Notamacropus eugenii: one gene and its partner. The protein of the gene in region 2 purifies or fractionates together with the protein of the main gene of each other region. This does not show direct contact. Links are inferred from orthologs where the notes say so. Each region holds a gene or a part of one and is shown on either strand. Other genes may lie near its edges.

Region 1 (3,909 bases), on a different chromosome or scaffold from region 2:
ACTGACTAAATGCTTGTTTCCCTCCTTACTTCACTGGGTTGTTGTGAGTAACAAACAGTACAGCCTACAAAACACTTTGTGATTATTCTTCTTCCTCCAAGCCATTAATAAAACTGAACAGAAGTGAGCAAAGGGCAGAGCCTGATGGCACACCACTAAATACTTCTCTCCAGTTTTTCAATAGAGTGCCAAATAATTACAGATCCCACCTACTGTTCCTTCATCTTGCTTACCCAGATATCATAAAAGACCGACAAATGTCCTGCTGATAGTCTAATAGGAAATCACCCTGCTCAGGAGCATAACAACGCCCTCAGAGAAGAACGAGGCTTTCGTGCAGCTTGGATCCTTCTTCAGGTTTGGGTTTTTGTCATTTCATTGATGCTTTCCATATACAATGAAGTCATCCCGGGATATAAACCCCACTTCCATTCCCACTTCCCATAAATACTCACTTGAAACAAAAGAAAAAACAGTTAAAGCAAAGTTAAGAGACACATTGATGGAAGAGGACAAAGCATGAGATCTCTTCCCCTTCCTCCTTCCTGATGGGGAGGAAGCAGAGCATGAAATGTTCTTCATGACTGATGGTTCTGAGTGTTCCCCACTTCCAGCCTTGAATCTGGAAGACCTGGGTCCAAGTACTGCCTCGGAGATATACTGGCTGTGTGACCCTGGGCAGTTAGCTCTCTAAGGTTCTGAGTGGCAGAGCAGGGGGATTTTGCTTTTCTCCCCTCTCTCTTTCCAAGGTTCCCTGGTTCAGTTCATCTTTCCCCTTTCCCCCTTCAGGGTTCCCTTAGGTGCTCTGAGCCCCACCCTCACATCTCATCTGCCTACAGTAGAGTTTCCTCTCATGGGGAGTTGGGTACATTCATTAAATTAAAGGTCTGGCCCCTCTTTCCCCAGATCAGCAGGCTCTCAAATCCACATTTACTACACCAGGGCTAATGCCATCTTTCCTTCTTCTGATACCTGATTTTTTTTTAAAGGCTATTCAAGTCACCGTAATTGGTTTTACTGAGCCCACATATTTATTCAACTAGGGCTAGATGCTATGAAAGGCAATCATCTCATTAAACAACAGAAGTCTGGGAGCTTTTTCTATTGGAAAACATATCTTTCCCAAGAATCTCCCAATGCATCTCGTGGTGCTTGGGTTAGGTGGGTAGGTTGGGGTTCTGAGGATTTAGCCCTTCCTTGGCGGGAAGGAATCCCCCCCAGTGGCTAAAAACGCTCCCAGTTACGACTGTTAATGCTCTGTGCCTCTTTTTCCCAGAGTGATGTTTCAGGCTTATACTGTCTGGTCTGGAGGACCAAGGAAAATGACCTCAGTCCTCCAAGCCAGCCTGCAGACCTCTCCCTAAATATTTCTTAGCAGCAGACCTTCAGCCCCAGGAGGAACGGACACTGCCTTGGACCATCCTGCTACACAAAAAGCCTCCGAACTTTACCTTGGCAGGGGTAAGGGAAGGAAGAGGAGATGCCGTAGATCAGCCTCTAAGGTCCTCCTGACGGTCCAACGATCCAGAGGGGATCTGCGAGGCACAACCTCAGGCCAATCTGTGCTGAAGGGAAAGGAAAGGCTACCCTCAGCCAAGGTGGGATGCTGGTTCATGCTCCCTTTCCCCTCAAAGCGCACAGGGAGACAGTATTCTGACAGGAGACCTGAGGGGTGGGGCCCAGAGCACCCAAGAGAGCCCGGAAGGGGGAAGAGGGAAAGATGAGCTGAAGCAGGGAAACTTGGAAAGGGACAGGGAGCTGGGGGAAGTAAAATGCGCCAGGGGAAGTCTAGGAACGGGAAGGCACCAGTCAGGAAGGGGCAAGGGGGTGCTCCCTCCCGGCAGAGTGAGCATCACAGGACTGTAGCTCTAGACCTGGAAGGGACCTTAGAGGCCACCTACTCCAATCTTCCCTCATTGTACAGACAAGGAAACTGAGGCAGGGGAAAGGGAGTGACTTATCTAAGGACTCAGAGCCGGTTAAATGGCACAGCTGGATTTCCAACTGACCCCGACGGTCGGGGCGGGTTTGAGTGGAGAGACCAAGGAGTCAAAAGCTCCGGGGAGAAAAGAGTGGGAAGGACAGAGGGTGGAGAAAGAAGGGGCAGGAGGGAACAAGCCCGAGGGCGAGCGGAGGAAAAGGGCGGAGAGAGCGGAGCTGAGCCGGGAGCAGCGGGAGCGGAAGGGGAGGGCAGGCCAGCCTGGGCAGGGGCCCGGGGCCAAGCCGGGATGGAGCCTCTGAGAGTGGGGCGGAGGAGCCGCGGAATCACCTGGCTGGAGATGCGGGGAGCGGTGGGACTTCGGCAGGGGCCGGAGATCAGCGGGTCGGGCTTTCCCTCTGGCTCTCGGTTTCTGTATCTCTGTGGGTCCCGTCTCTCGCCCAGGTCCCGGCTACCGCTAGCCGCCAGTGGCTCGGCTCGCGCAACCGAAGCAGGCGGAAAGGGACACGACTTTCCAGGGAGCGGGGCGGGGCCGCTTATTTAAAGGGAGCCGGTGACTCCGCCCCTTAACTCTCGGGGAGGCCCCACCTCCACCCCCCGCGCTCCGGCTCGCGATTGGAGAAGCCCCGGGCCTCCCCCCTCCCGGCTTCGAGCTGGCTCCGCCCTTGCCCTGCCCTCCCGACGGCTCGGGCAGGCTGGATTTCTAATGAGGGCGTGTGTGCCTGTGTGTGTCCGTGTGTTCGTGTTCCGGTGTGGCCCGTGTGTGCGCCGGCTTCGACGGGGAATCGAATACATCTTTTGGGGATACGTGCCCACTCGGTCTGCTAGGACAAACAAGTGACAGTCTAAAATGCGGCTGCCTACCGAGGCACAAGGCTCCCAGCTGTCGGGCCAAGGCCCTCGCCCCTTCTTCCAGCCCCCAATCCAGGGGACAGTCACTGCCACTGCAGGCCCTAGGGCTCCCCCAGAGCGTGCCAGTGAGCCCCCTCCAGCCCCCAGCCCTGCTCCTCGGAGACTGTCCCAGCAGCAGGCCAGGAGATCCCTGCTCCACTTCAGTATGGGTGGATTTGTGACACCACCTGCCCAGGCAGGATTTTGTTTGGCCATGTTCTTCTCCCAAGGCCTGGGACCAGTCTTGCTCCCTAGACTTGTCCCCCTACTCACCCTACACAAACACGCCAGGCAACAGCGACCAAAACCAAACAGAATACCTCAATGCCAAGGAGCGAAGGCCTTGTAGAACCCAGGCTACACTCAAAGAGCATCCTGTAGTCTCCCTAAGGAGTCAGAAGCAATTCATTCTTCAGCCTTGACAAACCACAGGAGCAGGCCTGGTAGGTCTGCCTTCTGGGTAAAGAACTGGGATATTTAGTAAACAAAAAAAACAGACCTCCCCATACAGGAACAATCAAAGTGAGGACCCTTATGTCTTAAGATCCCAAAGCAACCTCTAGGGAGGAGGGGACTACAGATGTATTACTATTTCCCCTTGATAACAAAGGAATGAGACTTGGAAAGATGATAGGGACTTGCCCAGGGCCACACAGCCAGTGAGTGTCAAAGGTGGGATTCCTGACAATTCACTCCAACTAAGCTTCCTCTCTGACCAGCATATGCAGAGTGCTACCTCCTGGGTACAGACTTGTGGGTTCCTCCAGCCCTCATTTTAATACTGGAATCCGACAACCACAGCCACAAGCGTAAGTGTTCTAGGAATGGAGGACCTGAAAGTCTATGTTGAAACTCATTACAAGCAGGCTGGGTTCTTCACACTAAACTAGCCCTTTCCTGAACTGGAGAACCACTGGCACCATGAACACTGCATGGTCTACCTCAGTCTAAGCACCATTTGCCAGTCTTGCAGCCTTGCACCCTAAAGCAGGGTTAGCCTGTGTAACTCCCTCCTGAGTGGTCAACAAGGGCCCCTGCTAAGATCATGGAGAATAACGGAGAATGGGGTGAGAGCTCCT
Region 2 (3,909 bases):
GAACTCTGGTCTTCCTGATTCCAAGCCCAGGGTTCTAACCATTGTACCATATATCATCACTACTGCAAAGGACTGTTTTTATACTTTCTCTGTTTTTTCTCTCTTTATTTCCCTAAGGCAGTGCTATAATAGCCATCTATCTTGTACTACTGCTAAAATATCAGATCTTTAGCCAATAAACTCAAAGAACTAGATTAATCCAGATCAGAACCCTCCCACTTGCATTATCAATCTCTTAACATTTTGTTGCAGAATCTGGGTCAAGTAAACTAGTATTTAGATTAATGAAATTCAGCAGAAGTCTCCCTGTTTGAACATTAAAAATAAGCAGATTTTTTTTCAGTATTTTTTTCAGGCCACTTCCACTTTCCCAAATAGTTCATTAAACCAGAAAAAGCAAATCTTAGGACAACATTGCAAATTAACTTTGCATTTGCTCAAATGACTTAAGTTGCAGAGAAGAAATATCCGTTTCCAAAAGGTTTCCTTTTCTGTCAAGTCAAACATGTTTGGGTCCAAGGGGTGGGGAAAAAACTGATGAGAAGGAGGAATTGTCATTTGCTCAGGTTTTTGACAGTTTCCTTTTATCCCTCCTTGGCAACTACTAGAACAGGCTCATCCAGTTTCTTCTGGAAATTGCTTTGTGCTCCTTTTGAAAGCAATGATGTAAAAACTCAAGTGCAGTGTGCATAGTATATTTTAGCAAGCAAAAAAGCTTATTAATATTAAATTATTCAGCCATGAATGGAATATGTTTTCAGCTCTATAGGATTCTCCTTTTTGCAGCAGGGAGGCCTGATCTCATGGAGAGGAGGAGAAAACATTTACGGAATATGAACAACTGTTTGGGGGCAAATGCCATAAATGGCATGAAGCTAGTTATCATTTCGCCCATTCTACTTGGCCTTAAAATAGCTTTGTTATGATTTATGGGTGATGACTAGCTTACCAATGTCACAGCTTGCTAGTACAATAAACTCATGTCCCAAAATACAGAGCTGTAAAATCCAGCATTGATTGGTTAAAAAGCTTTCATCTATCACTTTTCAAAGTTTAGATCATCAAAATCTGACTCATACTGAGTACTACTTTAGGCTGACAAACTGCACCCTGAGGGAAAGGGGACTCTGCTACTCAGATGTGAATGACCTATATGTCAGTTCTCTTGTCCATAACACTAAAGGCACAGAGCTTCCTTTTTGGCCTGATGACATCTCTTACAAGCACCTGCAGGGTCATGCAACTAATTTTAGCTCTGGACAGAAACAGCTGGCTCTGTGCTCTCAGGTAGCAGGCATTTATCAGAAGTTGCTTTCATTGACACATTCTCTGCCTTTTAAACTGAGCATTTCCTTAGCATGGACATCCTTAGGTTTCAGACTCCCAATATTGTGATTGAGAAATCCTTTGAATGAAGCTTAATACCTTGTGACCCCTTGAATCAAAATAAAAGATGCCAAATTTAGTTCAAAACAAAAGCAAATAAGTTTTTTTTTTTTTAAGTGGGAAATAAATATTACTCCTGAGTTTTCTGAACCTAGTGAAAGGTTCAACTGGACTCTTTTGCCTTAGGCAATCTCATTTTCTCTCTAAAGATCAGATCAGAAACATGTTATTTCTAACTGACATCCCACCAAGCTGAAAGAAGTTGGCATTACACTACTGTAAAAAAAGGAACTAAACAAATCCAGCTGTTTCAAATGCAAATATCCCACAAAAGCCTCCAAGTAAGTTTCCAGCTGCTGCGTGCCCTGCATGCCAACGCCTTCTCCCTGTCGGACTAGGGCTGGAAACCGCGCGTCTCCAGGCTGCCACGCCAAGCCTGAGAAAGCACAAACCCCAGCAGCTGTCTGCTTCTTTGCAGGCCCACAGCACCTCGGTCTCCACGTCTCACTTCCTCCCTAGCCGGCTACCGAGCTGGCCGACGCGTCTACACTGAGCGGGGGAAGCGCATTCCAGCCATCACTGCCTGCCGGCGGCCGCTCGGCTTCCCCAACTCACCAGCGTGCGAAGTTTCCTTGGCTTGCCGAGGGTTGGGTGTCGGGTTTCCCAGCCGGCTCCCTCTCCCTTCAGCCAGAGGTGTCCCAGCTGTGCAGCTTCTCGGGGTGCGACCGCGGCAGTAGAAAGCAGAACTGGGTGTTTAGCAAGCGACAGTCATAGGGGGTGTGTGGGGGAAAGAGGTACCCTCTTTTTGAATCCCGAGGTGCCCTCTGCCTTTCTCTCCCAGACCCCGTCCGGCAAGACTGGCAGTTGCAGTTCTCCGGTGGCACCACCCACCCCCTTGAAGTCGGCTGAAGCAGCTTCTATCTGAAAGGTTTGTATGGAAAGAAGGCGTGCCTCCAGAGCCTTAACGAGGATATGAGGAACTCACCTCCGGCAAATCTGGTTTGTGACTCAGCTGCCTGGAAAGACAACTCGCTCGGCGGCTGCTGGCGGAATTCTCCAGCAGCAAGTCTTAGCACACGGCTGGATCCTGGTCGTTTATCTTCTGCGTTTACGCAGCCGCTTCTTTCTAGGGCCCTGGGCACTGGAGGGAAACGCTTCCAAACCACAGTATTCCCCAAAGAGCCTTAGCTACGGGGAGGGAGGGTTAGGGTTAGGGGGCAGAGGAAGGGTCGGGGTGAAAAGGAGGAAAGGGACTTAAGCTTTGTTAAAGTTGAGAGTCCTGAGGCTATCGCTATGCACAGCCCAAGCCCTGCTTCCTGCAGACATCTCACAAGTTTGGTTAATAATAACAAAGGCTAATGCCAAAGCGATCTAACACGTAAATTATTACAAGACTTCTGGTACTTTGAGTAAATATTTGTACCTGTGTTTGCTAAAACTCTGTTCTGCAGATGGTAATGGAACCTGGCTAAGGCTGTGTGTGTCTACTCTAGATGAAACCCCCACAGCCAGTTAATGGAATCAACTTGGCAAAATAAATAAATAAAATACACATTTTTGAAAGGAAGGACAAAGGAGGTCTTTGGCATCACAGTTGACAATGCAGTCTGATTGGTTTCCTTGATTTTCACTTGGTTTAGGTGTGTCTAATAGACTTAACCACAGAGCCATTGCCCCAGGGTGAAGGAAGAGGAGGAGGAGGGAGGAGAGGGGAGGAAAGAAGAGGGGGAAGAACGGAGGGGGAGAAAGGGAGAGGAAGTTGAGGAGGAAGAGTGGCTAGGAGGTCTTAGATCCTGCTTCCCTTGTTATTTCTACACCCTCTATCCCCATGATCCATTTGGGGAGTGGAAGCAGAATTAAGTATGAGGCCAAAATGAATCAACAAACGAATGTGAAGCAACATTGTATCTAGGGCAGTAGCAGAAAGGGTATGAGACTGAATTTTAGGAGACCTGGGATAGAAGCTACGTGACTTCCAAACAGGTCTGTCCATTTCTTCTGTAGGCAAAGATCCCCAGACTTCCTTTATTGTTAATCACATCTCCCTCTTAGTCTAAAAAAATGTTGATCCTGTGTCAATGGCCAGTGTTTTATTATTAATGTATAAAAGAGTCAGAATGACATAGGGCATGGACCGCTGGCTCCAGTCCAGGAAAATCTGATTTCAAGTCCCACTTCTGCCACTTACCGATGGTATGACCCTAGTCAAGTCACTTAACTTCTAAGTGCTCTAAGCAACTTGGTAAGATTATAAGTTTTGGAGAAGACATCAGCTCGCTTTGGTAGAGGGAGTTTCCTCACCAAAAAGTTTCCTATAACAATGAAGTCACAATGAAGTTGCTTTACAGATACTACTATACCCATATGTTATGTACATTATAAAATGATTAGAGATTTTTAAAAGATGAAATGAATGATATCTTAAAGATCTTATCAAAGATACCATGCCTCAATTTATTTTAAATAAATATAAATGAAAATATTATTTTAAATGGTCCCTGGGTAAGGAGAGCATAGGATTGG

What was found.
Region 1: the proteins of RAB27B (region 2) and SYTL4 purify together in Homo sapiens (co-immunoprecipitation; 3 studies listed by BioGRID and IntAct, counting the BioPlex papers as one, with this or other methods). This does not show direct contact. The link is inferred for Notamacropus eugenii from reciprocal best matches to the Homo sapiens genes RAB27B and SYTL4.

What each region holds. Positions count from the first base shown.
Region 1 is NC_092879.1:92,449,493-92,453,401, forward strand, and holds the start of SYTL4 (synaptotagmin-like protein 4), read right to left. Parts: upstream 2,458-3,909; 5' UTR 2,270-2,457; intron 1,566-2,269; exon of another isoform or gene 1,561-1,565; 5' UTR 1,452-1,560; intron 455-1,451; 5' UTR 1-454. UniProt on the Homo sapiens protein: Modulates exocytosis of dense-core granules and secretion of hormones in the pancreas and the pituitary. Interacts with vesicles containing negatively charged phospholipids in a Ca(2+)-independent manner.
Region 2 is NC_092875.1:436,370,876-436,374,784, forward strand, and holds the start of RAB27B (ras-related protein Rab-27B), read right to left. Parts: upstream 2,425-3,909; 5' UTR 2,002-2,424; intron 1-2,001. UniProt on the Homo sapiens protein: Small GTPase which cycles between active GTP-bound and inactive GDP-bound states. In its active state, binds to a variety of effector proteins to regulate homeostasis of late endocytic pathway, including endosomal positioning, maturation and secretion.